Saccharomyces cerevisiae S288C: one gene and its partners. Changing the gene in region 2 together with the main gene of any one other region gives a genetic interaction. Each region holds a gene or a part of one and is shown on either strand. Other genes may lie near its edges.

Evidence for each region.
Region 1: mutations in ESC8 (region 2) and MDE1 together harm fitness less than expected from each alone (positive genetic interaction), as found in Saccharomyces cerevisiae (one large-scale study listed by BioGRID).
Region 3: mutations in ESC8 (region 2) and ASG1 together harm fitness more than expected from each alone (negative genetic interaction), as found in Saccharomyces cerevisiae (one large-scale study listed by BioGRID).
Region 4: mutations in ESC8 (region 2) and YJR098C together harm fitness more than expected from each alone (negative genetic interaction), as found in Saccharomyces cerevisiae (one large-scale study listed by BioGRID).

What each region holds. Positions count from the first base shown.
Region 1 is NC_001142.9:467,362-473,934, forward strand, and holds MDE1 (methylthioribulose 1-phosphate dehydratase MDE1), read right to left. Parts: upstream 3,604-6,573; coding exon 2,869-3,603; downstream 1-2,868. Other genes in the region: TES1 (palmitoyl-CoA hydrolase), read right to left, coding at 1-920; REC107 (Rec107p), read right to left, coding at 1,194-1,822, 1,903-2,218; U4/U6-U5 snRNP complex subunit LSM8, read left to right, coding at 2,423-2,752; BNA1 (3-hydroxyanthranilate 3,4-dioxygenase), read right to left, coding at 3,777-4,310; YJR026W (gag protein), read left to right, coding at 5,399-6,573. UniProt on the Saccharomyces cerevisiae protein: Catalyzes the dehydration of methylthioribulose-1-phosphate (MTRu-1-P) into 2,3-diketo-5-methylthiopentyl-1-phosphate (DK-MTP-1-P).
Region 2 is NC_001147.6:289,382-297,329, reverse strand, and holds ESC8 (Esc8p), read right to left. Parts: upstream 4,802-7,948; coding exon 2,657-4,801; downstream 1-2,656. Other genes in the region: IRC10 (Irc10p), read right to left, coding at 1-252; calmodulin-dependent protein kinase CMK2, read left to right, coding at 1,210-2,553; t-SNARE syntaxin TLG2, read left to right, coding at 5,256-6,449; TOS7 (Tos7p), read right to left, coding at 6,777-7,948. UniProt on the Saccharomyces cerevisiae protein: Involved in HMR and telomere silencing via the recruitment or stabilizing of the SIR (silent information regulators) complex.
Region 3 is NC_001141.2:100,840-109,409, reverse strand, and holds ASG1 (Asg1p), read right to left. Parts: upstream 6,629-8,570; coding exon 3,734-6,628; downstream 1-3,733. Other genes in the region: TAO3 (Tao3p), read left to right, coding at 1-3,303; forkhead family transcription factor FKH1, read left to right, coding at 7,175-8,570. UniProt on the Saccharomyces cerevisiae protein: Probable transcription factor involved in the stress response.
Region 4 is NC_001142.9:611,342-619,079, reverse strand, and holds YJR098C (uncharacterized protein), read left to right. Parts: upstream 1-3,923; coding exon 3,924-5,894; downstream 5,895-7,738. Other genes in the region: mitochondrial 37S ribosomal protein mS42 RSM26, read right to left, coding at 46-846; AIM25 (Aim25p), read left to right, coding at 1,746-2,729; ubiquitin-specific protease YUH1, read right to left, coding at 2,794-3,504; JJJ3 (Jjj3p), read right to left, coding at 6,149-6,667; YJR096W (aldo-keto reductase superfamily protein), read right to left, coding at 7,037-7,738.

The DNA of each region.
Region 1 (6,573 bases), on a different chromosome or scaffold from region 2:
CTGGGATTCGAAATCTTAAGATAGATCCAATTGTTCACATGAGGCAACTGGTGAAAGTAAATCGTGTGGTCGAGCGAGACACTGAAACTGTGGCAGTACAAAGGCAGGTTGTGGAAGTACGGGATCGTGAGTAGGAGGTAGGAATCGGACAGATACGCAAAGGCCACGTAGTTGTAGCGAGCGTCGTTCTCAGGAGTAATGCTCTTCGGGATCCTGTACGGATGATGCTTGTGTAAAGAAGACTCGTCGCCCGCGTGCTCCACGGTAGTGATGGGAGGTCTCACTTTGACGAAATAATCCAGCTCGTCGGTGTGTCTTGCCGAGTAGAACATGTCCTTGGGGAATTGGTACTCCATGACTCCGTATTGAAACGCATCCACATACTTGCTCATCGAGGTTGCGTCTTGGAACCTGTCGGACAATGAGGCATACCTGCTCAATTTCTGTGGGTCCAGAACTTCTTTCTGGAAAAGCGAAGTGGCCTCTTCATAACGATGAGGGTCTGGCTGCTTACCTTGCAGGCCTGGAATCGTCTCCCAGTGCTGCAAGGAGTCGTGCTCCTTGGACCGTTGCACGGCAAATAAGATCATCGACGTAAATATCAACTTGTCGTGCTGATAAGCACTAACCTGCTTATGGATGAAATTTCTACCGTTTCTCAGATTCTGCACATGGTACGTGATCTTGGTCCGCGGATCACCACCCTTGATGAAATACGAATGTAGCGATGTGGGGAAGAAGTTCAATGGCACAGTATGCAATGACGCCAGCAGCGATTGTGATACCAGCGTTCCACCAAAAGTGCCCTTAGACCCTACGGGCGCGGCAGGCAGATACTTTGTGACAAAACTGGTAGGCGAAAGAGGAACCAGTTCCAATATTTTCTCTAGGTTGGACATGGCCATTTTGGAAGCACTCATTTTTATGCAATCTTGTCTTATCTTGTCTTGCTCATGGTGGATACTGAATTGAAACCCTTTTCTGGTTTATATCCAACTGGCGTGGTTTTTCATTGTAGGATGAGGCTCGGTGTTTATGCCGTCTCTTCCGAGGATGCAATCAAAGGCTCTCTCCTTTGTTGGGGTAGTAGCAAGTCCAATAAGCAACGCTTGTTTGTTGATTGGGCCGATTTACATAGCCTATACACTGCTGTTACATATGCCTGTGTAGAATGAAAAAGCAGGACGCCCGTTTCACAGCTCAGATTCCAGAGTGTCGGGTCTTAGTTCCTCCCAGGGAATAATGGTCCTGGCCGCACGCTTCAGCCGATGGCTAGCGTCATCATTGTCTTCGCTATTGTGGTTTTGGCTGGTGGATAGGGTTGGGGAGCTGGATCTTCTGCGTTTCATGGACCTTGTGACCATCATTCTTGGTGGCGGCACGGACTTCTTACGCTGCTTATCGTGGGCTTCGTCCATATCGTGCAGGAGTGTGGTGCCATTCAGAGACACATCCGGGCGATCGTAGGCGTGATCTGCCTTTTCTCGAAACGCCATCTCTAGAGCAGTCTGGCGGGTTTGTAGACTGTGCATGTCTTTGGATAGAGACAGGAGCACTTTATGCACGTCCTCCAGTTGGCTGCCGACGTTGAAGAGCATCTCCTGGGTGCACCTCATCGACTTTTCCGTCTCATGCTGCTTGTTAGTTACGTGTCGCGTTATCTTGGAATTATACCTGCTTATTTCTTCGACTAATACCTGCCTGTAGCTGGAATCCGACTTTGTCTTCTTCTCGTCGCCTTTCGATAACATTGCTGTTGACACTTTGTCCAGTTGGTTTTCAATCTGGGAAGCCAAATCCTTTATTAAGGTTTTCACGTTTCCTATACTACAGTTGTTAGTAAATGTGTTTTGGAAGAAAATGAATAAAAAACTTGAGGGTATGCACTGTGTTGGTACGAACCGTTCGTAGCAGCATCTTGTTCCAGTAGCTGGTTAAACTTGTTTAGCGATTTACATAATGTCTTAGAATTTTCATTTAAAACTTTAATTAGCTTGTCAGAGTTTTCCCTCAGCTCCATACTCTCCAATTCCAGTTTACCTGCCCATTCCAGTATCTGCTTGTCCGATTCCTCTAAAGCGCCTGCATTCGCTACTTTCCCACTGTGGGAGAATATAGATCTGAACGGTGATGATGTTTCTGTAATCATCAACGAGTGTTCAGAATTAGCCTCTGAAACATCTGTAGATATCTCGTCTGTTCTACCTCTAGCGACCATTTTACTAAATGTTTCTACACGTCTGCAGTATCCTTGTTTTGCTTGTTTTCCTTCTTTCTGTTCTTGTTGATTTTCCCTTTAAGTCCTGAAAATACTATCATGGCGTAAAGGGAAAAAAAAAAACTAATCTTACGTGGTTCTTATAAGATGGACCAGCAAGCTGCATACAGTACACCATACAAGAAGAACACACTATCGTGCACCATGTCAGCCACCTTGAAAGACTACTTAAATAAAAGAGTTGTTATAATCAAAGTTGACGGCGAATGCCTCATAGCAAGCCTAAACGGCTTCGACAAAAATACTAATCTATTCATAACCAATGTTTTCAACCGCATAAGCAAGGAATTCATCTGCAAGGCACAGTTACTTCGAGGCAGCGAGATTGCTCTTGTTGGCCTCATAGATGCAGAAAATGATGACAGTCTAGCTCCTATAGACGAAAAGAAGGTCCCAATGCTAAAGGACACCAAGAATAAAATCGAAAATGAGCATGTAATATGGGAAAAAGTGTACGAATCAAAGACAAAATAATATAGTTGCAATAATAGTAATAATAATAATAATAATAATAATAATAATAATAATAATAATAATAATACCATGTATAGAAGTATATAAATCATACAATAAATTTAAGCATTAACCCGTCACGGACTGGCCATCTTCAGATGCTTCTTCTCTTCGCCAATGCCACAGTCGGGAGGAATCCCCATTTGGTACATCTTTATGGCCAGCTCCATCAAATAATCGATGGCTTCGTTGAAAATTTTGGCCTTATCGATTGTCGGACCCCAAACAAAAATGCCATGTCTCCTCACAATTACGGCGCATGTGTCTGGATAATCTTTAAAAGTCTTGTGCAAGTCATCGATCAACTCGTCCTCATGCGCCATGTTTTCAATGATGGGAATCTTCAGCGTATCAAAAAACGATAGCGCCATGGGTTTCTTGGTCACAGGGTCCACCTTTCCGCTTGGAATTGCTTTGATTTGTTCGATGTTAGCAATCCTGAACTCATCGCCAAATAGCAAGGAGCATATCACAGCATTTTGGGAGTGTGTATGTATTATAGCACCTGCATTTTTCTTTTGGTAGCACGCTAAGAACAATGGAGTACATGCGCTTGGCTTGTAAAGCTTGGGAGAGCGCAAATACTCTAATGTCTGAGCGTCCATGACAAACAAATCCTCAGGTATCATCTTCTCCTTCTGCACCCCAGATGGGGCGAGATAATAATAATTCGTGTTAGGATCTTTTATTGAAATCCCACCTCCAGTTCCGGTGCACCAATTATTATGAAAAAACTGCTTGCATAGCGTGCAAATGAGATTTGCTGGATGGCACGGATCATCTGAATGTATCAGAACATCTTGTGAAGACATAGTCGTTCACTGGCTCCCCTTGTTAGTTCAGTGCTTAAAAACGTTACATATCTTGATGAACAGCTAGCTGCTTTGATCAAGAGAAAAAAAAAAAAAATTGGCACCGCATCTTAGTGCCGCAATCTTACGTAACAAGAGAGCTATAAAAGTACAACTAACAACTCTTCTAATACTTAATTAGATTGAGGGCGTGCGTAGTTTAACGTCTTGCAATGGAAACATGTCCTCTTTTCGACATCATTTTCAAAATCTAAAATGGCTTCTTTCACTTGGGTACCTAAGTCTAACATTTGCAGTTCACTCTCGTGGACCACTTGGCGACAATGAGAACAGTACCACCTTATCTTATCGTTTTCTCCCCCAGGCCTATCTTGTTCCACAACAATACCCACAGTATCAGCAAACCGAACAGGACTGTGAGGAACATTTCCTGGCAATAAATATGAATCGCCTTCATTGATGATGATATCAATGAACTTTGGTTCAGCGTCTGTCTCATCCACAACCTTTAAAAGCATAGATCCTTTTTTTTGATAGAACCATTCGGGAGTTGGATTGATGTGATAACCGGTTCTTTCATTAGGCCCACCGACAATCATCACAGTGAATCCCCCTTTATGTAAGCAATAATTATTCACCGGTGGTTTCAAAAGGCCTTCGTTCTCCTTCAACCATTTGTCGATATTAATTGGTGTAGTATTAAACATTTTTTTCGATTTTTTTGGTAAATGTATGCTATTTCAGTTACTTGTAGACTGTCGTGAAAAGAATAAAGAAAGAATCTTTTACGTCCGTTTTTTTACTTTGCCGAATATGTTTCAGTGACTCACAATTTATCCTGACGCCGTCACAAAGGCAGCCATTCCATTGCAATAACGACACTCTGAATATTCACGAACGTTCACCAGACATTTGGAGGCAGCGTTCTAAATGCCGATACCCGTTCAGGAGTACAGGTGTCAGTGACAGAAAAATAATGGCACCGTTGACGTCGAAAATACATCCGCGCAAATTTTGACAGGCTATTTTGGCAGCGCAATCAAAGAATAAACTTGGTATAGTAAGGAAGCCAGTTACTGTACGCATGAATTACGGTAGCTTTTTTTATTTTATTTATTTTTTTTTTTTTTGGACAAATAGAAAAATTTTTATTATTATGTAAGATTATTGAAGTAAAAATACAATTGGACGAATCTAGTTAGATTGCCAAGATGTGTTAAAAGGCAAGATTAACTTATGAACATGATCTACAACGTCCTGGTTTTTAAATTCGAGTAAATACGCCTCCTTTTTATCTGTGAATGACAGTCCTGTTCTCCCAAGTCTTTTTACATCATGGAGACGGGAGTTATACTCTCTCGGGTACAAGGTTCCTTCAGCATCAGAACAGATCACAAACTTTATCGCAACAACAATTCCTTTATATTCCTGGGAAAATATGTCGGTATAGCCTACTCGAGACGGCTTCCAAACATCAGCTTTCGTTTTAACATGTTGCTGTTGGAATAAAAATCCACTATCGTCTATCAACTAATAGTTATATTATCAATATATTATCATATACGGTGTTAAGATGATGACATAAGTTATGAGAAGCTGTCATCGAAGTTAGAGGAAGCTGAAACGCAAGGATTGATAATGTAATAGGATCAATGAATATAAACATATAAAACGGAATGAGGAATAATCGTAATATTAGTATGTAGAAATATAGATTCCATTTTGAGGATTCCTATATCCTCGAGGAGAACTTCTAGTATATTCTGTATACCTAATATTATAGCCTTTATCAACAATGGAATCCCAACAATTATCTCAACATTCACATATTTCTCATGGTAGCGCCTGTGCTTCGGTTACTTCTAAGGAAGTCCACACAAATCAAGATCCGTTAGACGTTTCAGCTTCCAAAACAGAAGAATGTGAGAAGGCTTCCACTAAGGCTAACTCTCAACAGACAACAACACCTGCTTCATCAGCTGTTCCAGAGAACCCCCATCATGCCTCTCCTCAACCTGCTTCAGTACCACCTCCACAGAATGGGCCGTACCCACAGCAGTGCATGATGACCCAAAACCAAGCCAATCCATCTGGTTGGTCATTTTACGGACACCCATCTATGATTCCGTATACACCTTATCAAATGTCGCCTATGTACTTTCCACCTGGGCCACAATCACAGTTTCCGCAGTATCCATCATCAGTTGGAACGCCTCTGAGCACTCCATCACCTGAGTCAGGTAATACATTTACTGATTCATCCTCAGCGGACTCTGATATGACATCCACTAAAAAATATGTCAGACCACCACCAATGTTAACCTCACCTAATGACTTTCCAAATTGGGTTAAAACATACATCAAATTTTTACAAAACTCGAATCTCGGTGGTATTATTCCGACAGTAAACGGAAAACCCGTACGTCAGATCACTGATGATGAACTCACCTTCTTGTATAACACTTTTCAAATATTTGCTCCCTCTCAATTCCTACCTACCTGGGTCAAAGACATCCTATCCGTTGATTATACGGATATCATGAAAATTCTTTCCAAAAGTATTGAAAAAATGCAATCTGATACCCAAGAGGCAAACGACATTGTGACCCTGGCAAATTTGCAATATAATGGCAGTACACCTGCAGATGCATTTGAAACAAAAGTCACAAACATTATCGACAGACTGAACAATAATGGCATTCATATCAATAACAAGGTCGCATGCCAATTAATTATGAGAGGTCTATCTGGCGAATATAAATTTTTACGCTACACACGTCATCGACATCTAAATATGACAGTCGCTGAACTGTTCTTAGATATCCATGCTATTTATGAAGAACAACAGGGATCGAGAAACAGCAAACCTAATTACAGGAGAAATCTGAGTGATGAGAAGAATGATTCTCGCAGCTATACGAATACAACCAAACCCAAAGTTATAGCTCGGAATCCTCAAAAAACAAATAA
Region 2 (7,948 bases):
TGGCATACACTCTTCCATTTGGAGAATGGATATTAGTATAATGTAAATATAATTGATTTCATCTGGATGTCTCTCAAAGTCAGCAACGCTGATTCGTTGGATGTATTTGTTTGAACCTGCCAACAGCCTGAAGTACTCTAATTTTTGTTTGTATGTAGCGAAATTAGTAAATTTAGCCAATCTTAGCATGCCTCTAGAAAATGATATATTGATGCTTTCGAAGCCTGGTAATCTAGAGTATTCAATGAACATGATTGAAAAAGCACTAGGCCAGGTGATTATACCGCAGACTTACGGTAATATAAGGGCAAGAGAACTAAAAAAATCAATAATGTAGGCTTATATTACAGTTCTTTGTGAGATATTCCTTTCTAGAGCGTTTTCTGTGTCCACTCAATTAATATATACACTTCCCGTATCCTAACATTTACTGACACAATGATAGGCACAACGCGCGAAGGAGCGGTGGGGCTTTGAACAATAAGGACCCTTACATAGAAAAGGCGTTAGAACAACAATATGGTTAGGCCATAGAAACCTCGGTGTCTTTTAGGAACTTCACAGAATAGAACATACTGCAGTAGATATAAATACACCACTGGGGCAATGCAGCCTGGTTTTTTCCAAATATACAAAACACTTCATGATACTTACTAATGGTCGTTGATACAGTACTCATTGTATCATTGCAGGAGAGTTAGGTTGGCTTTTTTGCATTTATTTATTTATTCATTTACTCAATTGACAGGCAATGTCAATGATTTTTTGGAAGAAATTTGCCTAATGTTTTTACTCAGTTACTCACCGCTCCCTGGATAACATAAGGTTCATTTGCTTCCGTACTGATTTTTTTTGGCAGTCTATAAGCCACTATGTACTTCCCAATGCTCCTGCAGGCATATTCTTTTTCAATTTTCATGTTTTTACTTCCAGTCGTTGAGCATCATATGGATTCTATGTTGATGAGGCTTTTCAGAACGTGCTGTACTTTCGGAGAAGCGCCCGCTTTAACGCAGCGCGAAGAGAATAATTGAGGCTTATCTTAGAACCCTGCCCCCTTTGAAGCCACCCATTGCTGTTTCTCTTGGTAATCCTAATAATATAAAACAATACGATATTGTTCAAGATCAGCAGAACTTCAATTCGTTGATCAATCTTTTCGTCACCTTTTCTTCTATCACATCGCCAATATAAATATAGACACCAAAAATGCCCAAGGAGTCAGAGGTCATAAATTCTGAATTTCATGTAGATGTCCAAGATCCAGAGCGTCTAAACGGCCACCCTGTAGCAAAATTTATCAATAAATTAAGCGGTCAACCTGAATCTTACGTCAACAGGACTAATTATATTTTCGGTCGAACACTGGGTGCCGGTTCCTTCGGTGTTGTGAGACAAGCCAGAAAGTTGTCCACAAATGAAGATGTTGCTATAAAGATCTTATTGAAGAAGGCATTGCAGGGAAACAATGTGCAATTACAGATGCTGTACGAAGAGCTGTCCATTCTTCAAAAATTGAGTCATCCGAACATTGTGTCATTCAAGGATTGGTTTGAATCGAAGGATAAGTTCTATATTGTCACTCAGCTGGCAACAGGAGGTGAATTATTTGATAGAATTCTGTCTAGAGGGAAGTTCACAGAAGTGGATGCTGTTGAAATCATAGTTCAGATTCTTGGTGCCGTGGAGTATATGCATTCCAAGAATGTTGTTCATAGGGATTTGAAACCTGAGAACGTTTTGTATGTTGATAAGTCAGAAAATTCGCCTCTGGTAATTGCGGACTTCGGTATAGCTAAACAATTGAAGGGGGAGGAGGATTTGATATACAAAGCAGCCGGATCGTTGGGTTATGTGGCACCAGAAGTCCTCACACAAGATGGACATGGTAAGCCTTGTGATATATGGTCCATTGGTGTGATCACATATACTTTACTGTGCGGTTATTCTCCTTTTATTGCCGAAAGCGTTGAAGGATTCATGGAGGAATGTACAGCTTCGAGATACCCGGTAACCTTCCATATGCCATATTGGGATAACATATCTATTGATGTTAAGCGTTTCATCTTGAAGGCATTGAGATTGAATCCAGCTGACAGACCAACTGCTACGGAATTGCTGGACGATCCATGGATTACTTCAAAGAGAGTTGAAACTAGTAATATTTTACCAGACGTTAAGAAAGGGTTTTCTTTGCGTAAGAAATTACGTGACGCTATTGAAATTGTGAAGCTTAATAATAGAATTAAGAGGTTAAGAAATATGTATTCATTAGGGGACGATGGCGATAACGATATAGAAGAGAATTCCCTCAATGAAAGTCTTCTGGACGGCGTCACACATTCGTTGGATGATTTACGTCTGCAATCTCAGAAGAAAGGGGGAGAACTAACAGAAGAGCAAATGAAATTGAAGTCTGCATTAACAAAGGATGCCTTTGTTCAAATTGTCAAAGCTGCAACAAAGAATAAACATAAAGTTTTGGCTGGTGAAGAGGAAGACGATAGCAAGAAAACACTGCATGATGATCGGGAGTCGAAGTCAGAAGACTAAATTACGGACTTGAATTCGTGTACATAAATTCGTATATAATATTTAATGTGTAAAGCTAGTGACGATTTTATGTAACCAGCAGCTACACTTCATGGCATTCAAACTATAGACCTTTTCTGGCATTACGCCTCAAGCTTCTTTTTTCCCGAGAATTATCTTGTAGTTGCCTAACGGGTTCTGAGAAGATCTCTATATCATCACAATTCCTATCACAATCTTTAGCGCCATTGTGTAATTCTCTTTTCCCAAAAGATTTATCTGTCCTATCTTCACCTTTTCTTGTCAATGTATTCTCCTCACTCAGATATTCTGAATCATAGTCATCGCTAACGTCAATGTCAACTTCATTTTCACTTTCCTCGGAAACGTCACCATTTACATCACTCGAGTAATGCACCGTGGTTCTTCTCTGAGAGCTTGTTCGCAAATGACGTCCTTCAGTACTGCCTGTAGGGGCAGCAGTTATGCGCTGAATAGTCTCATTTATGAATATACTGAAAATTTTCAAAAACTCAATTAGATTGTCTATACCCTTTTTTGTATCATCGGTGTCATTTTCAGTAAGTGATGATAAACTTTCCAAATACTCAATGAAGTTGCTCAAAGAATTCGAGTCTCCTGCAACTTCAAACCAATGCGGCACCTCGGCAAAGTGAACATCATTGAACTGTAAATTACGGATACATGCAGGAGTGTTCCTATATATAAGTTTAAGTTGACACTTGTTTTCATTTTGTGCGGTTTTTGCAGGCAGTATTTTTGTACCCTCCTCTTTGAATTTTACGAAGTAATTAAGATAAGTTGACATGTCATTGAAACTGTAACTAGTGTTTACTGAACTGCATTCGTTGCCAATCCAGAATGGTGGTAAGTAGAAATCTCCAACTCGTGGAATTCTCGCTATCATAAACTCTGATGTCCTTAACTTGTAAATTTCGTCTACGGTGGGATCATCAATTGGTGTGTGTGTAAATTCGTTTGCAAAATATTCACCCCATTCTTCATTTATTTTAACTGCAGCTCGTAATCTGTCTGTAGTTACTTTTTCGCTCAATGATTTCCGAACACCCTTTAGAAATTTCATCTGACTATTGATCTTACTCAGTTTTCCTTTGTCGCTGGGCTTCCTTTTCTTTCGATTTTCCAACTTTTGACTCATCAAAGAGCATAAAACTTCACAACTATCTAATATGTTATTGGCCCCGCACATAGCAAACCTGCTGGCGTGAAAAGTTTGATGGTTGAACCCTGTATCGCCTTTCAAGTGAGTGAGCCTTTGAATTTCATTATGGAAAAGTGCGGAGTAGCTACAATTCCAATCGATCATGCATCTCAATAATATTATTCTATCTAATGGTTCCATCGTCAACAAACCACCTCCATTAAAATTTAGAGTAGATAAAATATCACTATTACCACGCCATTCTTTTGGTAAGCCCCACTCCTGGATTAAGCTTCTGAGTTTGCCAACCAGTTTTCCATATGGATTTTTCAAACTAAGAAATCTTTTTAGCGTGAAATTTCTATGAGTTTGGTTGTCTGCTCTTTTCTCGGAGCAGAATAATAACCTCAAAAGACTGCAAAATAGTAGATTCATTTTATCCTGACAAATTCGAATATTCTTCGCAGAATGGCCAGCCACCTTTAATTCTAGTCCTATCTCCACATCTTGAAATGACAGGTTCAGTAGATCGTCGCTGAACACCCATTTAAATTTGACGATAAAAGAAAGGATCTTCATAACATCGCCTGCATATGGGAGAGGGGTGCAAAGGGGAGGCGCCCAATTGCTTTCCGTTACCGTCTCATCACTCATAAACTTTGCAAAGTCAGAATATCGTAAAGGAATATTTGGTGACCAGTTTAATGTATTCAATGGTCTATTATTAGAAGTAGTGTGTTCACTGATCGACTCTACCTTGTTAGTGTCGTTCGAATGTGTTTTGATATTAGAATATTTGCTTGCCATATTTGCCTCCATTTCTTTAGTTTTCATTTCTTCATCACAGGTACCTTCATATTTCTCCCGCTTTTTAGTATTTTGGGTAGCAGCATCCAGTGATTCGTCAATTGAACTATTGTGAGAAAGTACAACAGGTTCTTCTACAATTTTGATGTTTCTGAAATCATCAAAGGTCAACTGACCCCTTCTTTTTACCCTAGGCTTTGAAGACTGGTTTTTCTGTTGTTTGACCATAGGTTTCTTGATAAAGTCATCGACCAAGTCTAAATCAATAATTTCTGTCATTATTGTACCTCAAATTTCTTGTTCCTTATTTTCTTGTTTGATGTCTAAAAAAAAGAGATATCCTGGTAATGAGCAGGCCGTTTCTTCAGCTCATACAATCGAAAGCTTAAGAGTTAGTCGTTGATATGGTATTCTCTAATACCGAAAATAACTTAGTACATATAAACGCGTAAAGTTCACGCGTTTATATCACCCTACCATATGACATTCTAACCCTACTAATTTTTTATCAAAGCTAATAGGGTTGTATTTTATTATCTTTTACACCTACCTTTTTTTTTTGTATATGCCCTATAGATGAATTATAATTGTTGGACCGGTTTGTATTGGGCTTTTAAGGTGTAAAGTGAGTGCGTATAGATTATAGCAGAATAGACTATAAGTACGGCAAGACAGGAAAGTCTCCAATTGATGTACATTTTATCGCTTTGTGATCTAGGCAGTCGTTACAAACATGTTTAGAGATAGAACTAATTTATTTTTATCATACCGTAGGACTTTCCCTCATAACATAACTTTCTCATCTGGGAAAGCACCCTTGGGCGATGATCAAGATATTGAAATGGGTACATACCCGATGATGAATATGTCTCACGATATATCGGCCAGATTGACAGATGAACGAAAAAACAAGCATGAGAATCACAGTGATGCGTTACCACCCATATTTATTGATATAGCGCAGGATGTTGATGATTATCTTCTGGAGGTGAGACGGTTAAGTGAGCAGTTGGCGAAGGTTTATAGGAAGAATTCGTTACCTGGCTTTGAAGACAAGAGTCATGATGAGGCGCTGATTGAAGATCTAAGTTTCAAAGTAATTCAGATGCTGCAGAAATGTTACGCTGTTATGAAACGATTAAAGACCATATACAACTCTCAATTTGTGGATGGTAAGCAATTAAGTCGAGAAGAGCTGATTATACTAGATAATCTACAGAAGATCTATGCAGAAAAGATACAAACTGAAAGTAATAAGTTCAGAGTATTACAAAATAATTACTTGAAATTCTTGAACAAGGATGATTTGAAACCTATCCGCAATAAGGCCAGTGCAGAGAACACGCTATTATTAGATGATGAGGAAGAGGAGGCAGCAAGAGAGAAGAGAGAGGGCCTCGATATTGAAGACTATTCAAAAAGGACGTTGCAGAGACAGCAACAGCTTCATGACACTTCTGCAGAAGCATATTTGAGAGAACGTGACGAAGAAATTACTCAGTTGGCAAGGGGTGTATTAGAAGTGAGCACTATTTTCAGGGAAATGCAAGATTTGGTTGTTGACCAGGGGACTATTGTGGACAGGATTGATTATAATCTGGAAAATACAGTGGTAGAGCTAAAAAGTGCAGATAAAGAGTTGAATAAAGCAACACACTACCAGAAGAGAACTCAAAAATGTAAAGTCATTTTATTACTAACATTGTGCGTAATAGCGCTCTTTTTCTTTGTTATGTTGAAACCACATGGCGGTGGCAGTGGTGGTCGTAATAATGGTAGCAACAAGTACAACAATGATGATAATAAAACAGTTAATAACAGTCATGATGACGGCAGTAATACCCATATTAATGACGAAGAGAGCAACTTGCCGAGTATCGTTGAAGTAACAGAATCTGAGAATGATGCTTTGGATGACCTACTTTGATGACAAAACTTTCACGGTACCGCATCGCGATTTTGAACTATAATATGCTTTGAAGAAAATTGAGAGATTTAGTCAGCGTTCATATGACCTGTTGCTCGTTCTATTTGAGAAAAGTGAAAAGGTTAATATATGATTTCAATAAAGTATGTAGTATGATAATAAAATACAAATTTATATGGGATAAAATTGAACCGCAAGTAAAGACTGGCGAACGAATATTGTGCATAAGTAGTTCCTGAAGATGATAAAATATGGTTTAATACAAGTTGGTGGTTATTGTGATTTGTAGAATATAAAAAAAAAAAAAGAACCTTCATTTTTCTTTTTTTACCTAAATCCGTAAGGATTGTTCAGTGAAGTAGTAGCTCGGGGCAAGTTTTTGTTTTGCATTCTCCTCTTATAGGCAGGCTTATATCCTTGTGTTATCGGGCTTTGGTTTGGTAAAGGATTCGGAGCAAAACCGACGCCTGGTACCGGATTTCTGTGCTGTGGCACTTGGTTTGGGGCAACGTTGAAATAAGGATTGCTTTGTAAAATAACATTAGAAGGATCTGGACCAGCAGGAGTAGTTCTTTGATATAAATTGTATTGATGATATTGCTGCTGTGGTTGCTGTTGTTGTGGTTGTAGTCGTTGTTGGGGATACACTAATGGCGCCGGGTGTGGCTGACCAGCGTACGGCCTTATATTTGCAGGACCAGCGGCTGTTTCTCGAGGCATTTGATTGTATACTTCCGGATTGACACCTCTCTGTGATATTGAAGTCAACGTTGAATCTTTATCGTTGTAGGAGGACATGCTGTTGATGTGGCTATCGTTTGGTTCATTGAAGGAGGTCTCCATGATGTCGTTTAGTAGTCTCGAAGGATTTCTGTGCGGTATGACCTCTCTTTGAGAGTAGTCTGAGGACGCTAATGATGCACTGGATGATATTTCCGTTTTTCCTAGCGGAACTTTATAGTTTATATTGTTGCTGGTGTTACTACCATTGTTTCTCACATAATTATTAGAAACACTCCCATTTTTCAAGCCACTTTCACTTTCAATGACAGAATACGTTGAAGTTGACCTCCTTTTGTCATAGGCCATGCCATCGTCCTCTTCTTCATTAAGTCCGGAACCATTTGAATTTTCCATGTCCTTTGCTTCTTTATCGAAAGTAGAAATATCAGACGTGGTAGAAGTGGTTATGTTTGATAATTTCGGATCTTGATTGTGTGAAATAATATCTGGGACAACAGTGATATTAGTACCGTTCTTAAAATTGTCACCCAATAAATTCGTTCTTGAATCACCACGGAGGTTGGCCTCACTATCAGCGTCGATATCGAATCTCCCGGACTTCGAACTTAGATATGGGTCATTCAGCAGCATGCCCTTTTCTTCCAGTTCCTCGGTTTCGTCATCATCCCTTGAGCCTGAGCTTCTTGAATAAGCTGAGAATATCAAAGGAATTACTAGTAGAGATAAAGCAGCTCCTGGTATCAGGACCCATGAAC
Region 3 (8,570 bases), on a different chromosome or scaffold from region 2:
CTTATATTGAGCTACTATATGGCAGTAAGAGAGCATCCGCTAATAGATGAATTATTTCCCTTCCAAGCACGCGCATCATGTTTCAATTTCTTGAAGGAATGGTGTGGTTATGGTGAGTACGAGCCAATATCTGAAGAAAGATATGCCATAATGATAAAAAATACAGAGAGTGGCAGAGATAGAACCGCTATTACAACTGGAATAGAATTCCAAAAAAACAGATTGCAGATGATCGTGCTAGAGACTATGGTTGTTTTATGTTCAGATCCAATAACCCAAACATTGGACGATGATTTAGAGTTGCCTATTGTGATTTCATTCGATACTGAAGATTTACTTGCTTGGATTGAAGCACTATTTGACTCGGACAATACTACTGTAAAAAATCTTGGTGTGCGTGCTTTGGAGAATCTCCTGGACAAAAATAGGGAAAATTTTAAACTATTTAGAGATGTTGCTTTCCAATGTGTTTCACACCACTCACATCCTTCGGTAGCTGTTTTATATTACACTACACTTTGTAAATCCGTTTTGAAATTGGATAATTTGGTTTTAGATGAAGATGAATTAGTCTCCTTGGGTTTGTATGGTTTAGTGGCAGATAAGGAAGATACAAGGACATTTGCTGTTGATCTACTTTCAGCTGTTGAAACGAAATTACATAATTCTTCTTATACCAAGGTATTTAAGGAGAGACTTGCAAATTCTTCAAAGACGGTTTACAAATCAACTGCAAAAGAAATTTCTAGCATATTTGCCGAACTGCTCTCTCAGGATTTGTGTTTGAGAATATTTTCCAGTTTGGTTAGAATACTTGATTTGTTTCCTTTCGAAATAAAAAGAGATTTGTTGGTGCTTATGGTACCTTGGGTAAACAAATTTACATTGAAATCTTTAGAAGAGTTGGACACGTTTATGGTATTGAATAACCTATTTTACATCACTATTGATCTTAACGACTCTTTACCGAACGAAGTAGAGCAGCTATGGATTTCTCTTGGCAAGGGTAATTCTTTCCAAAATATACACGTATCGCTGGAGTACATCATAAATTCTTCAATGAATCACTGCAATCCATTGTTTGTTCAGTATGCTAGAGATATTGTATTGTATTTGGCAAATATTCCTGGTGGCATTGGACTACTTGACACTCTATTGAATAATTTAGAACCGAAATACATGGTTCCTTTAGCGAAACATACGTTTAATGAGCCAATGAATAATAATAAGTATTCCTTTTTAGGGAATATCTGGGAACGACTAAATTACAATGGGAAAAGAATCATTTTTTCGAAGGCGCAGCTTTCGATTATCTTTTTAGTCAATTTGTTAACGAACTTGAGTGAATCTGTAAAGGCGAAAATTCCTCTTCTACTACATATGTCCATTTGCTTGCTTGACCATTATGTGCCGCTTATTCACGAAAGCGCGTGTAAAATTGCATCTACATTAATATTTGGATTGGCACCAAGTCACGAAAAGTCTGAGGAAACCGTGAAACTACTAAGAAATAAGCATGCCTTATGGTCATATGATAACTTGATGAAAAAAGGTGCAAGATCACCAAAAACTATGGACCTATTAATTAGGAACATAATCTCTATATTCTCGGACTTAGATGAATTTCAAGTAACTTGGCAAAGAATTGCCTTGAAGTGGGCTACCACTTGCTCAGTTAGGCACATAGCGTGCAGGTCATTTCAAATATTTAGATCATTATTGACATTTTTAGATCAGGAAATGTTGCGTGATATGCTTCATAGACTTTCGAACACTATATCGGATGGAAATGTCGATATACAAGGATTTGCCATGCAGATCTTGATGACTTTGAATGCAATCATGGCCGAACTTGATCCGACGAATTTGATCAGTTTCCCGCAGTTATTTTGGTCCATTACAGCATGTTTGAGCAGCATTCACGAACAAGAATTCATTGAAGTGCTGTCATGTTTAAGTAAATTCATTTCCAAGATCGATTTGGATTCTCCTGATACCGTACAGTGTTTGGTTGCGATCTTTCCTTCCAATTGGGAAGGTCGCTTTGATGGCTTGCAACAAATAGTTATGACTGGATTGCGATCAGCGAATTCCTTAGAGATTACGTGGAAATTTTTGGATAAGTTAAATTTGTTGAAAGATAGCCGAATTATAGCAAATACAGAGTCTAGGCTGCTTTTCGCATTAATAGCAAACCTTCCGAGATTTTTGAATGCAATGGATCGCAAAGATTTTACGGGCATTCAGGTTGCTGCAGATTCGTTAATTGAACTTGCAAATGCGTACAAACAACCTTCTCTTTCCCGTTTGATAGATTCTCTAGCAAAGAACAAGTTTAGATCAAAGAAAGATTTCATGAGCCAAGTAGTGAGTTTCATATCTAGAAACTACTTCCCCTCGTACTCCGCTCAAACGTTAGTGTTCCTTCTGGGTCTTCTGTTCAATAAAATAGGATGGATCAGAGTTCAAACTCTGGAAATTTTAAAATATGTTTTTCCTTTAATTGACTTAAGAAGGCCAGAATTTATTGGTGTCGGTGCTGATTTGATTTCTCCGTTACTCAGGTTACTATTTACTGAATACGAAGCAAAGGCCTTGGAAGTTTTAGATTGCGTACCAAATGTTTCTGGAAGTAAAATGGATAAGGATGTTTTAAGGATAACCATGGGAAATAAGGATGTGAAAGACGGCGATAATGCTACCACTACCTTGTTTGGTTTGCCTGAAGATAGCGGTTGGTCTGTTCCTATGCCAACAATGACGGCGGCTACGACAAGGCACAACGTTCACGCAGTTTTTATGACATGTGGTACAGGCAAATCAGATGAAGTATCTGCTCACGGATCGGATGATATGGATGCAGTTATCGAATTTCATGCGGATGGTGACTATGAACTCGGCAGAATGGATACAATTGTCGAGTTTCATGCGGACGGTGATTATGACCTTGGTAGAATGGACACAAACGATTCCATTTCTGTTGCGGAAGAAAAGGATGCTTCGTTAAGTCACATGTGGGCAGAGCTAGATAATCTTGATAGTTTTTTCACAAAGGACACAAATGTGCCAAATATCTCCTCTAAAATGGGGATGGGAATTCCACATGGACGTTCTGATTCGATTGAAACCACTCGCACAGATCAAACTTTTTCCTTTGAGTCTGCTCCACAGTTGTATGACAAAAAGGTCTCAGTCATACTGAACAGGAGCTTATCTAGAACACCGTCCAATGTTTCATTTAAAACTCATTTGGCTGATTCATTTGCTGTGAAAATAAACAGGAATGGAAAGCCAAGAATATAAGTTAATTTTTTCGTTCAAATAAATATAAAGCAGGCCTTGGTTTATGATAAGGTACCAATGATGAAGATATTTCGCATATAGCTAATACTGTTCGAAAATTAGATAATCTTATAGAGAAACTATTATCATTGTTTACTATATTATTCATGTTTTCTTTTAATTATCGAGCTTTTGAAGGTGAGGTAGTTTAGGAAGTGAGGCTGATAAGTAAAAATTGGATTTTAGGGAAAACTAGATCCAGGATTGGTACTATTTTCTTTTGTTATTGCAGTTTATCACCATTATTATTATTATTATTATTATTATTATTATTATTATTATTATTATTATTATTATTATCATATATAAATACACACATAAACGTTTTAAGCTTATGTTCAGCAAGTGCTGTAGCCACGATATTATAGAATATAAATCAAAGATAACGTTTTCATTCAGAGGGGTAATTTAAAGGTAGGTATTTCCCAAATAGCTGAGCATCTAACTGATCGAATACTCCAAGAATATCGTTTGAGTCAGTCATATTTTGTTCGTTTTTAATTTCAATATTAGGTGACATCTCCTCTTTATCTTCTATGTTCAAATTGTCTTGTGAAAGCGGTATTTGTAACTGGGGAAACCCTTCATAAGACGGTGAATTGTTATCAATCTTAATGCCGAAGTCATTATTATTTTTATTATTGTTATTATTGTTATTATTATTACTACTATTACCACTATTGTTATTGTTATTATTATTATTATTATTATTATTATTGTTGTTGTTGTTGTCGTTGTTGTTGTTGTTGTGATTATTATTACTATTGTTAGTAATATTATTGTTATTATTGTTTTTGCCACTAACATTATTGTAGTTGTTGTTAATGGTATCTGGGTTGGAGTTATTTGATGCATTGCTCTTACTGCTGCTAAAATCGAATGCACTGTTAGTAGGGATGTCGCCGTCATTCCTGATAAAGACGTCATCTGTGGCATCAAGAATATTTGATTGGCCATTATTATCAAGTCTGATATCAATAGATAAGAAATTGTTCGGATCTCTTTCATTAGACATGTTAGTCGTTCCTTGGGATACTTGATCTTGCTGTTGTGCTTCATTTAAAGGATTTTCGGAAATAGGTGTATTATTTAGGTAATTAGCCATAGCGTAATCATTGGTGCTTTCTTCACTCTTAGCTAATGAAAAGCTATTCTTCGTATCCTGGGAAGAAAAGAATACGGGTGGTTGCAATGAATCTCCTAAATGAGGTTTCAAAGCGGAGGAATTATTAGTCACTAAAAAGGCACTTTCGTTGGATGGTGATGAATGTAACGCAGTAAGCTGGATAGTTTTTGAGTTTAGTTTTTCAAAAATTTGGTTCAATAAATTATAAGTCCTGCTAGCGGCCATACTAGAATCCTTGAGTTGAATAAGAACGCTTCTACCAGTTTCTGCGTCTTTCAAAATATCATAATATTCTCTAGCACTATCCTTATCAGGCAATTGCGCCTCATGGATGTAAAATAAGAGACCTGCAACGGAGTAAAAAATTGTATAACAGGCATACCAGTATGAACCAGTTAATAAATTATTACTAACCATCTCTTTTGCTAACTTAATAACCGTTCGAGCCACGGCAATAGAGTTCCGGGCTCTCCGGTAACATAAGGGATCTACATTTTCAGCATTCATGTTGCGTGATAAATAATGAATAAAAGGCCTGTATAATATTATCTGAACGTGCAAAAAAGACAAATGTAATAAACGATTTGCCCTTTCATATTCAGGATCAATATTTTCTGCGTTAGGTATCAGTTCTTTGGGCAACGAATCCAACCAATTTCTCAACTTTAATTCCAAGCTAGTAACTGTCTCATGAGAAATTATATTACTAGTTTTTTTTATCGGATATAGTTCAGAAATGATCTCATTTAAAATCAAAAATAGTTTTGTATGTTCATTCGAAATCCCCGTACTTGATAAAACGGAGTGTTGGTTCTCAGGTAGGTACGCCACCTCAGTGATATTCTCATCTGATAAATCCAGGGGGAGAGTTTGGTCAAAATCGTCGGGGGAAATAGATCTCGGTAGGCCCAGCATTGCATTGATATAAACGTCCAGTTTATAGATTGTATAAAAAAGGCGTTTCCTCATCTCAATTTCTATTGGACTAAAACCAGAATTGGGGCTCAATTTCCTATGAAAGCCTGCTCTCAAAGCACTTCTCATGGCGACACCGATATAAGTGTAACACGTTGATAAACGTGCGGAACATTGTAAGAATATAATCAGCATTAAAATTGCTTGTATGGAATTCAAGTCACGGGCATTTGTAATGTCGATTAGTTTCCTTGCTGCAATGAAGTACTTGTAACCTTCATCCTGTAGAAACTTTTCCCTTGACGAGTCATTTGAGACAATGGATTTCGAGAATAATGCTCCCACAGCGATTGCAGCGTAGCACAATGGTAAAAATTGCATTTGCTTAGACGTATAATTGTTTGGGTCTGTCTCATACAACTCATCCAATTGTCTAATGAACGATGGTCTGTGATAAAATCGGAGAAGAACACAGCAATGTTCCCAAGTACTTTTCACGAATTGTAAAGCGATCGCTTTTGGTGGTAGAATTATTTTTATTTCTCTACCAACGGGGATATTGGAGTAGGTATCTACACTGTCTTGTTCCCTGTTGCTGGAGGCGCTATTCGAGTCACTTTTCATGTTAGGTAAAAATTCGTCTGGAGTGGAGTTTTTTGAATTTGAAGAAAGTACTGGTTGGATCGGAGAAGAACTGTCATTTACGATTAAAGTATATTCTTTCACAGTGTCATCTAAAAACGACTGCGAGTCCCTCTTAAAATTGTGAAAGATCTGCAAGAACACAGGAATATCCAGATTGTCTATATCAGGTAACTGCGGGAAGACCTCATCAAATATTTGCTTGTACCTGTCAATCTTCGATTGTAACCTTGTGCTCTTAGTCTTATACTTTCTTGGTTTAGATGGATTGTTACTTGCAGGTATTGTAGAAGCACCCGGTAAAATAGCCCTTTCTGTTTTAATGTTTGAGAGGAGTTTATTTGGATTGGAAGCGGCGGCTGCCACCACAGTACTTGATGATGGACCAGTAGTAACATTGCCCAGTGTTAGAACTCCGGAGTTTCCGGAGTTCTGTGTTCTCTTCGTAGGCTTCTTATAAGTACATTCATAAGAGTACACAGTACAATGGATACATGGTTGCTGACCATCACATTTAACTTTTTTCTTTCTGCATTCATCACAGGCTCTAGTGACCCTTCTTCTCTTGACAGACTGTTCCCCTTGTTGCGCTTGTTCTGGCATAACGCCCTTATCAATTATAATATGCGCTCCTTTTTCTTTGTCTCTTACCTTATGGAACTCAAATAAAAAGAGGCTTTTTTTCTATATGTTAACCTCTTCGAGATTTTCTAACCGCTTTATAAAAAATTCGATTACTGGTTGTCTTCAATGCAAGGAACTACTCAACAATAGAAGGTCATGTCCAGGTAGACAAACCTCATTACTGTAGTCACTTTTGAAAAAAAAATTACCAAAAAAAAAAAAAAGAAAAAAAGAAATCACTAGGGCTTGAAGAGCGTAGGTCTTATAAAATGTTTTTTAAGGGCTTGAACGGAAATATAGCATATATGATAGGTCTAAAAAAGTTACGAAATAGGTTATGATCCATGGATGAGGTAAACAAAAAAATGGAAAAACATAAACAAATCAGAAACGGTATAGAGAGAACAGGATGGTAAGAGGTTTAGATGAATACCGGCTCTATAGAAGATTGAAGGTTTAAATAATAGTGTGTAAATTGTGCGTTCAATTAGCAAAGAAAGGCTTGGAGAGACACAGTAATAATAAATGTCTGTTACCAGTAGGGAACAAAAATTTAGTGGTAAGTATAGTTCGTATACAGCCCAGGATCGCCAAGGGCTTGTTAATGCGGTGACATGTGTTCTTAGCTCGTCAAGCGATCCTGTGGCTGTGTCAAGTGACTATTCCAATAGCTTGAGTATTGCCAGAGAGGTCAACGCTTATGCTAAAATTGCCGGATGTGATTGGACGTATTATGTACAAAAATTAGAAGTTACCATTGGTAGGAACACAGACAGCTTGAACTTGAATGCTGTGCCCGGTACAGTCGTGAAGAAGAATATAGACATTGATCTTGGTCCTGCCAAAATTGTGTCTAGGAAGCATGCTGCAATCAGATTCAACCTGGAGAGCGGATCATGGGAATTACAGATATTCGGTAGAAATGGTGCTAAGGTCAATTTTAGAAGGATTCCCACAGGTCCAGACTCTCCTCCTACGGTGCTACAGTCTGGTTGTATCATAGACATAGGTGGTGTGCAAATGATCTTTATATTGCCGGAACAAGAAACTATTATATCGGATTATTGCCTGAATCACCTCATGCCCAAATTACTATCTACTTATGGTACGAATGGTAACAACAACCCGTTGCTACGTAACATTATCGAAGGTTCTACCTATTTAAGAGAGCAAAGGTTACAGGAAGAGGCTCGATTACAACAGCTGGACCACCTACACACCCCATTATCGTCATCATCAGATGTTAACCCAATAGGGGATCCACATGGAGACACGATTATGATGGAAGAAGATGAAGAAGATGAAAATTACACCAGAGGAGGAATTAGACCGAATACATACACGTCCAGTAGCAACAATGCTGTCACTAACGGTAATGTACCCCATATAGAAAATCCATCAGACTTGTCGCTGGATGAAAACAGATATATCAAACCACCACAGTCGTATGCATCGATGATCACCCAAGCCATTCTTTCAACACCCGAAGGTAGTATTTCATTAGCGGATATTTACAAATTTATCTCTGACAACTACGCATTTTACAGGTTTTCTCAAATGGCGTGGCAGAACTCCGTGAGGCATAATCTGTCCCTAAATAAAGCCTTCGAGAAGGTGCCCAAAAGAGCTGGTCAACAAGGTAAAGGGATGAATTGGAAAATTAGCGATGAAGTCAGGCGTGATTTTTTGAACAAGTGGAATGCTGGTAAATTGAGTAAGATTAGACGAGGCGCCTCTGTGACAAGACAGCTGCAATTGCACATGTCCAAATTTGGAGAAATACCTGCTCCTGAATCTTCATCAATTGACCCGAGGGGGATAAAAGCACAGAAGGTGAAAAAGTCTTTACAAGCTACGAGCTCGATTTTAGGTGAAAGCGCCCCGCAATTACAAAGAACTCAACTCACTGGCCAAATTTCTA
Region 4 (7,738 bases), on a different chromosome or scaffold from region 2:
ATAATTACATATGAGGGTAAGAGGCTATCGCTTCCTTTCTTTTCATTACTTCGATATACCAGAGAATATCCTATTATTTACCACTGACCAATTCAAGTTATCTAGAACATTCTTCACGTATTTGGACCGGTTACCAACGCCATAATCATGTAAATAAGCATGATCCCACAGATTGACACAGATTATAGGCATGGTCCAGTCTTGAACCTTACCATTCAACTTAGTAGACTTTCCTATCAGTTCTTTCATTTGTTTCAAGGTAGCAAATTCATCGATGGATATCGCACTGTTTAAATCAAATGACTGGTTCCTGGGAAAATAATACGGCGTACCATTATTATTGCTCGTTAATATGAAGAGTTTTTTCTCATTGTTTTCAACTAGAAATAACCAGCCTTGTCCCAAGACTTCATTCTCAGCACGGTAAATCATTTCCTCCTTCACTACTTCCCAATCGCTGCCGTTGAATGAATCTTTGATTTTGGATAAAAAAAGCCTAGAAGGCTCTGTCTTCACAACGGCGTTCGAGTTAGTGCCATGTTCAACAGCAGAAGGTAGAATGTTCTCCACGAATAAATGGTTATTATGGATAGAGGACGCCAAATTGAAGATGTTTGACTGTAATGGATTTCCTGCAGTTTTCAGCAATATGTGAAATGGATAATATGATTCCAAAGACTGTCCCGCTGTCGCCAGCGTTAGCTTATCACATAGATATCGCTGGTAGTCGAACCACACCGTCTTGAATCCCGAAGAACTGAGTATATTAGGCACTCCATTTTGCAGTAGGGCCTTAGAATTTGGTAGTTTAGGTACTACGTGAATACCCCTTTTGAAAACAAGCATTTCTCTGCGTCTTAGTTGCGCCAAGAAGACGATATTATGTGGTCTTCAGAAATTTGCCTGCAAAATATCCTCTTATTGTGAAAAGACTTTTGCTATACCCTTCTTACTTTTCCATGCTTTGCGATACTTCTTGCTCAGTCCAAAAAAGTACTGCGGCACCTCTCCTAAGATTCTTGGAAAGATGGGAAGTGAAAAAAAAAAATACAAAAAATAATGAGAGCTAAGGGATTCGAACCCTTGCATCCGAAGATATCAGAGATTTTAGAGGTTAAATCCACCTAAATCTGACGCCTTAAACCACTCGGCCAAACTCCCATTGTTTGTTGAATGGACTTCATAAACAATCGCATATCATTGATTGGTTACTTTTTAAGAAGGGATTGATGCCAAAGTCAGATGGTAACCATTGGATCAAGTGATAACACGTTTAAATGAAACAGTACCCATTTCTATAGACCAGATACCACGGAAGGATTACTGTAGAGGTGAGATATGAGATAGAGGGAATTGCCATTCGGTTAATAGCATATATAGGTTTTTATATGGAAGATTTGTGGGGCAATTGATTACCTTGTCAAAAATATATATAATATCTTGGAGCTGTAAAGGAAAGGCAATGTACAAAATCGACCAAGAGCTTTACTAAGTCTGGACAGTCGTTTGTCTGCCGATGTGGAAAAATAGCTTTCAATATAGTTATAGGAAGAATTTTCATAACAAGTGCGCGGTCTTGTTCCCCTTAACAGGTTCCGAACCTAGTATGGGAGAGGTTTCATTGACTTCGTTATATACTTCATTCAAGTTTGTAAGCCTACCGGCAATAAGGATTTGAAAAGTACGAAATGAAAAAAGACAAAACAAAAGAAGATTAAAGGTCAAACATAAAGGATAACACCGACATGCATAGAACGGCAATATTTCTAACTTACCGATCATGTATGAGAAATTTCAGTACACTGAGTAAAACATTAACGGTTTCTTCTGGTAAAGTAATCAGAAACGGTCCATTTAGGAGAGTAATTCGTGAAAAGAACCAAATAACGAAGGCGCCATCAGTAAAAGCATTTAAAGAAAATAGCAATAGCGGGATAATAAAAGTACATGATCCTATAGCTACTACGATACTTAATGAACCGACAGTTATTATCGAAAGGCAAATAGAATTTATGAACGTTTTTCTAGGTTTCGAGCAGGCTAATAGGTATGCCATAATGGATGTGAACGGAAACAAAATAGCATCAATGATGGAAAGAGATTTTTCTATAACAAAGGCCATAATGCGGCAGTTTTATCGTCTACATCGTCCTTTTTTGGTAGATGTCTTTGATAATTGGGGAAATGTAATAATGACGATTAAAAGGCCCTTTTCGTTCATCAATTCTCATATAAAGACTATCATACCTCCTTCCGCGTATGTTGATAATGGCAGTGACTCCACTCACTATCACGACGGTAAAGAAGGAACGACAGTAGGAGAGACCATTCAGAACTGGCATCTCTGGAGGCGTCGTTACGAATTATTCCAGAAAGATGGAGTAGAAGGATCCACTTTTGACCAATTTGGTAAGATAGATGCACCTTTCTTATCATTTGATTTTCCTGTAACAGATGCTGATGGTAAGATAATGGCGAGTGTAGACAGAAATTGGGTTGGTTTAGGAAGAGAAATGTTTACCGATACTGGTGTTTATGTTGTTAGATTTGATTCGCAGAGATGCTTTGATAATATTTATCCTACTGAGATGCTAAGTTCTCAAGTACTAACTTTGGATCAAAGGGCCGTGTTATTAGCAAACGCTGTGTCCATCGATTTCGATTATTTTTCGAGACATTCCAGACAAACTGGAGGTTTCCTTTCTTTTGGCGGTGGCTATGATGAGTAGGTGAATTATATATTTAAAAGAATTCTGTAAATACATATTTGACTACGCAGTAATAAAACAATTATTATTCCCAATTAGGGCCCAATCCTAGCATAGCAAAGTTTAATACATCTTCTTCATTTGCATTTTCCATATATGAGGCGACTCTCACTCTAACTAATTCCTGTTCAATCAAATCGGTGGCAGTTGGGTCACTCTTTCCCAAATAGAGGGGTCCGCTCAAATTCCTTCCATCCAGTTCAAATATCCCTCCGTTCTCTTCCACATATGTGATATAGTGTAGATTAGTATCTGCAGTTGCTTCTGGTGCTTCTGACTGGCCAGTAGAAAATGTTTGTACATTCTCTTTTATTACATTCAAGACGAATTGGTCGGTAGTAACATCATCAAACCTATTCTTCGAGCTTGAAGTATCACTTTGAGATTTTAAAAAATTGTCCAAGTCGGAGCCGGGCTCCAACAATGACTGGTTATTGCTCAAAGAATGAAGAATTGCATACAATCCGCACGCATTTTTGACTGATTGCTTAAACCATATAACATCATAAGAACTTGTAATTTGTTGACTGGTACTCGATTTTCTATCCTCGTTTATCGGAAATAGCAGCACAATGGCCTTCACTGGCCTTGGTAAGAATGCTAGTAACTCTGGCTCTGTTAAGCTATAGATATCGAAATACGCCCATTCATTTTTTAAACCTAATTTATGTGCAAAATTTGTAAAAACTTCAGGGTTTGATTCAATCGGCACCACAGCACGATTTTCTCCGCTCATACTTTTGCTATTGTATTTTTATAACGATTGTTACTTACTTGTTGATCAAAATACCCTTAATATCTCTTAAGTATGGACTTCCACCTTTATAGTCGACTAAATAAAAATACTTCTACTGAGGAAGTTTAAAACACGGAAAAATTGTTCCAGATCATTATCTGCACTGGTTTTTGGGGCGTTGATAGGCATGTTCACACTTCCTAACTCGACCACAGACATCTCCAAGAATACAAGGTACTTCAATCCGGGTAATAAAACGTCAGGAAGTTTTGAGAAGTTAATAGCTCATCACTGCATTCTCAAAAAATGCTTACAACTCTATGACGCCCTTAAAAAGAAAGGACTGGGTAAGAATAGCCTGCCTATTTTGGTGATACGTAAAAGAATCAACTTGTAGAGGTTAACTGGGGAGTATTACAATGATGGCAACTCCGGCTACTGATCTTATTTCCGATAATGATAAATATAACAAGCAATGTCTTTCTGATTCAAGTGATAGTGGTAGTGATGTAAGCTTTTTTTCCGTAAATGAAAGCGAAGGTGAATTGGATACAATGGAGAAAGTGGATACCTTGATTGGAGGTGCAAGAGTTATAAGCAATAAAGTAGAAAAAGACAGCGATAGTGAACAAAGGGGAAGAAAGAAGGAAACAACTGGGCCCAATAACTATCATAATTTAGAAGAGAAGCAAGCGAGTGCCATTTCTCTTGACGCTGATGATGAAGATCTCGATGAAATTATTTCTTATTCGCATGACGGGAACTATGACAGCTCTCATAAAACTTTCTCCTTTTCCTTACCATTTGGTAATACAAATTTCCGATCAAGTTCACCATTAGCCATAATTAAAACTGTGCTTCCCAAGACTCCAGATGAGTTCATCAAAAAGAATCTAAGAAAGAATGAGATCAAGCAAAAACTGAAAAAATCAACCTCCATTTCTTCCTTGGAAGAGATAGAATTATTTAAATACGAAAGGGGCATTGATAATTCAAGGTTAAGGGCTGTTAAAGAATCTTTGGAAATGGATGCCTTGAAGAACTCCATTAAGCAAATAACAGCAGACCCATTCGACAAAACTCATGACGGATATTACCGTTCGCGTTTAGAATCTATATGGAATGAATTGGAAGGAGATGTCGTTATAATGGGTGGATATCGAGGTAGTGTGCTAAGGGATGCTACTACTCATAAGCGAATTTGGATCCCATTAAAGGCAGGTTTGAATATGACGAAAGTCGATTTATTGATCGGACCTAATGACGAAGATGAACTTAAAACTCAGAAGGAGATTGTCCCTGATGGAATGCTAACACATATAGGGCCTGTTGATATCTCTAAGAGGTTGATAAAGAGGCTAGACGCAAATCCTAATTTAAATGTTCAGCAGTTTGGCTATGATTGGAGATTATCCTTGGACATATCTGCCAAGCATTTAACGACTAAACTAGAGGAAATTTACAATAAGCAAAAAAATAAGAAGGGAATATACATCATTGCCCATTCAATGGGCGGATTGGTCGCACATAAAGTGTTGCAAGACTGTACTCATTTGATAAGAGGTATTATTTACGTGGGTTCCCCAAGCCAATGTCCAAATATTTTAGGTCCTATTAGGTTTGGAGATGATGTGATGTGGAATAAAACTATTTTCACTAAAGAAACCAACTTTTTTATGAGAAGTAGTTTCTATTTTCTACCGTTAGATGGTAGATGTTTTGTTGACAAAATTACCTTAGAGAGGTATGATTTCGATTTTTTTGATACAGATGTTTGGAAAACCCTTGGCTTGTCACCTCTCGTCAATGAGAAAAGAGAGGAATCAGCTCACGAAAAATCAAAATTATTACCAAGGAAAACGAAATCAGCGCTTTCGCTTAAAGCTACCCTAAACGCAACTACCAAGTTTGTCCTAAATGCACCTGTTGTTAGGAATGTAGCCGGCAATAATAAACAGGTACCAAGGGATGTGCCTTTCGATGAAGTCTTCCATACATCTTATGAAGATAGCTGTGAATATTTAGCGAGAACTTTAAAACGTACAAAGAATTATTTGGATAGCTTAGATTACGACCCGAACAAAGAATATCCTCCATTGGCCATGGTTTACGGTAACAAGGTTCCCACTGTTAGAGGTGCTAAAGTGAACGGTATACAAGATATAAAAGATGGGAATTATGAAGATTTTTACTATGGTCCGGGCGACGGTGTTGTTCACCATAAATGGTTATTGCCTGAACAGAGAGGCTTTCCAGTTGTTTGTAAAATCGCCAGTTCTTCAGGTCATGTTAGCTTAATGACGGATTTGAAATCAATGGCAAAAGCATTCATATCTATCGTCGACAGCGAAAAAGAAGGAAGAAGATCTCGAACACGAACTTCTTCATGAAAGGCTTTTTATTCCTTTGTTTACTATTCATATCTGCATTTTTCTTTTTACCAAAATTCCGCATGTCAAAAAAAATCTGGCAACGCACCGCGAATAAAAATAAATAATATTTTTTTATCTTTAGTTGCCTAAATACTATTTATTTCGTCAATTTTACAACCTCTTTTATATACACCATTCGATTTCCCACGAAGTAAAATAATAATTCTATAAACAGATTTATCTGATATGCTCAATTTCCCCTCCCATTTTCATTATTGTCCTTCTTGCTCTTCCTCGATGTCAAAATTAACCTTCAGCCATAAGCTGCATGCGCTACATTGGGTTAATAATTGATAACCAGAATGACTCCGTTCCATAGCGTCTACATTATCAATGCATTCATCTAACAAACTCTCACTAAAATGAAAACCACCAACAAATTGACAGCGAGGACAATTCATCATAAACTCCAGCTTATCTTCATCAAATGAGAAATCGTCTAAGGAAAATTCATCCAGCCCATCACCACAATTATGAAATCCTTGGCGTTTATAGTTTTCAAGGATCAACCTATCATATTCGCGACGAGTTTTTATATTCGATAGTATTTTATAAGCATCTTGAATCTTATTGATTGTGACGTTGCTAACCGTATCATGTATGCTTTTAGAAAGTTTATCGGGGTGCGTATTTAGTAACCGATTCCTATATGCCTTTTTGATTTCATCTTGTGTTGCATCCGATGGAATTCTTAAAATTTCGTAGTGTGTTAACGAATTCACCAATGACATTTTCGCTAAATTTTCACACCAAAAGAAAGATTAAATTGGAGATAAATACAATACAAAGAGCGTGGTAAATTTCTTAGTTGATTGCGCTTATCTTTTGGCACCGATAGTGGTTTTTACAATGGTAAGACTAGTAACGTCACATCGAAGTCATCGCATCCATTTACAATTTTTCTGAAAATTTCCATCTCCAGTTACCCGCTCATAAATCTTCAAGAAAAGTCAATGATTTCCTTTTCTACCTCTAGCAGCTCCTTTAATCTTTGATTTAGATCGAAAGTCCTGAAAAAGCTACATGTAATATTAATACTTTGTGAAACGTAAACTAATTATATGTTCTATATACGTTATTCTACGGTTCGCATTTTCTTTTTATGGCGCGTCTGTGCATTCCCAATCGGTAGGCTCATAAGCATCAGGATGATCAAGAAATTTCATCTGTTCGTCTGACAGTTCAAAGTTGTAGGCTGCAAGGTTACCTTCTAACCTCTTCACAGTTTTAGTCTTCGGTAGTGGTAAATAACCGTGTTGTAAAGACCAACGAATCAAAACTTGACCTGGATTACGGTCCACCTCTTTGCAAACTTTTAATAAATCTGGATTAGTCATTTTGTAGCCGTGACACAATGGGGCAAAGGCTTCGACGACGAGACCTTTAGATTTACAGTAATCTGCTAATTCTTGTCTCATAATCCAAGGTGATATCTCGATTTGGTTGACCACTGGCTTGTGCTTCAGTTCTGGCCAGTTCAAAAGTTCATCAATGTGCTTTTTCCCATAGTTGGAAACCCCTATAGACTTAACCAATCCTTCATCAACCGCTTCTTGCATGGCGCGCCAAGTTTCCAACCTTAATTTAGAACCTTCCAGTGGCGAATGAATCAAAAGAAGATCGATGTATTGCAAGCCCGAGACTTCATTCAAACATTGCCGAATGGCAGCTTTAGCTCTTTTATATCCGTTTTGCGAATTCCATAATTTAGTAGTGTAGAAGATTTCCTCACGTTTATGGTTCCCTGGATCTTCGTTCAACCATTTAATGATACCATCGCCAACTTCCTTCTCATTACCATA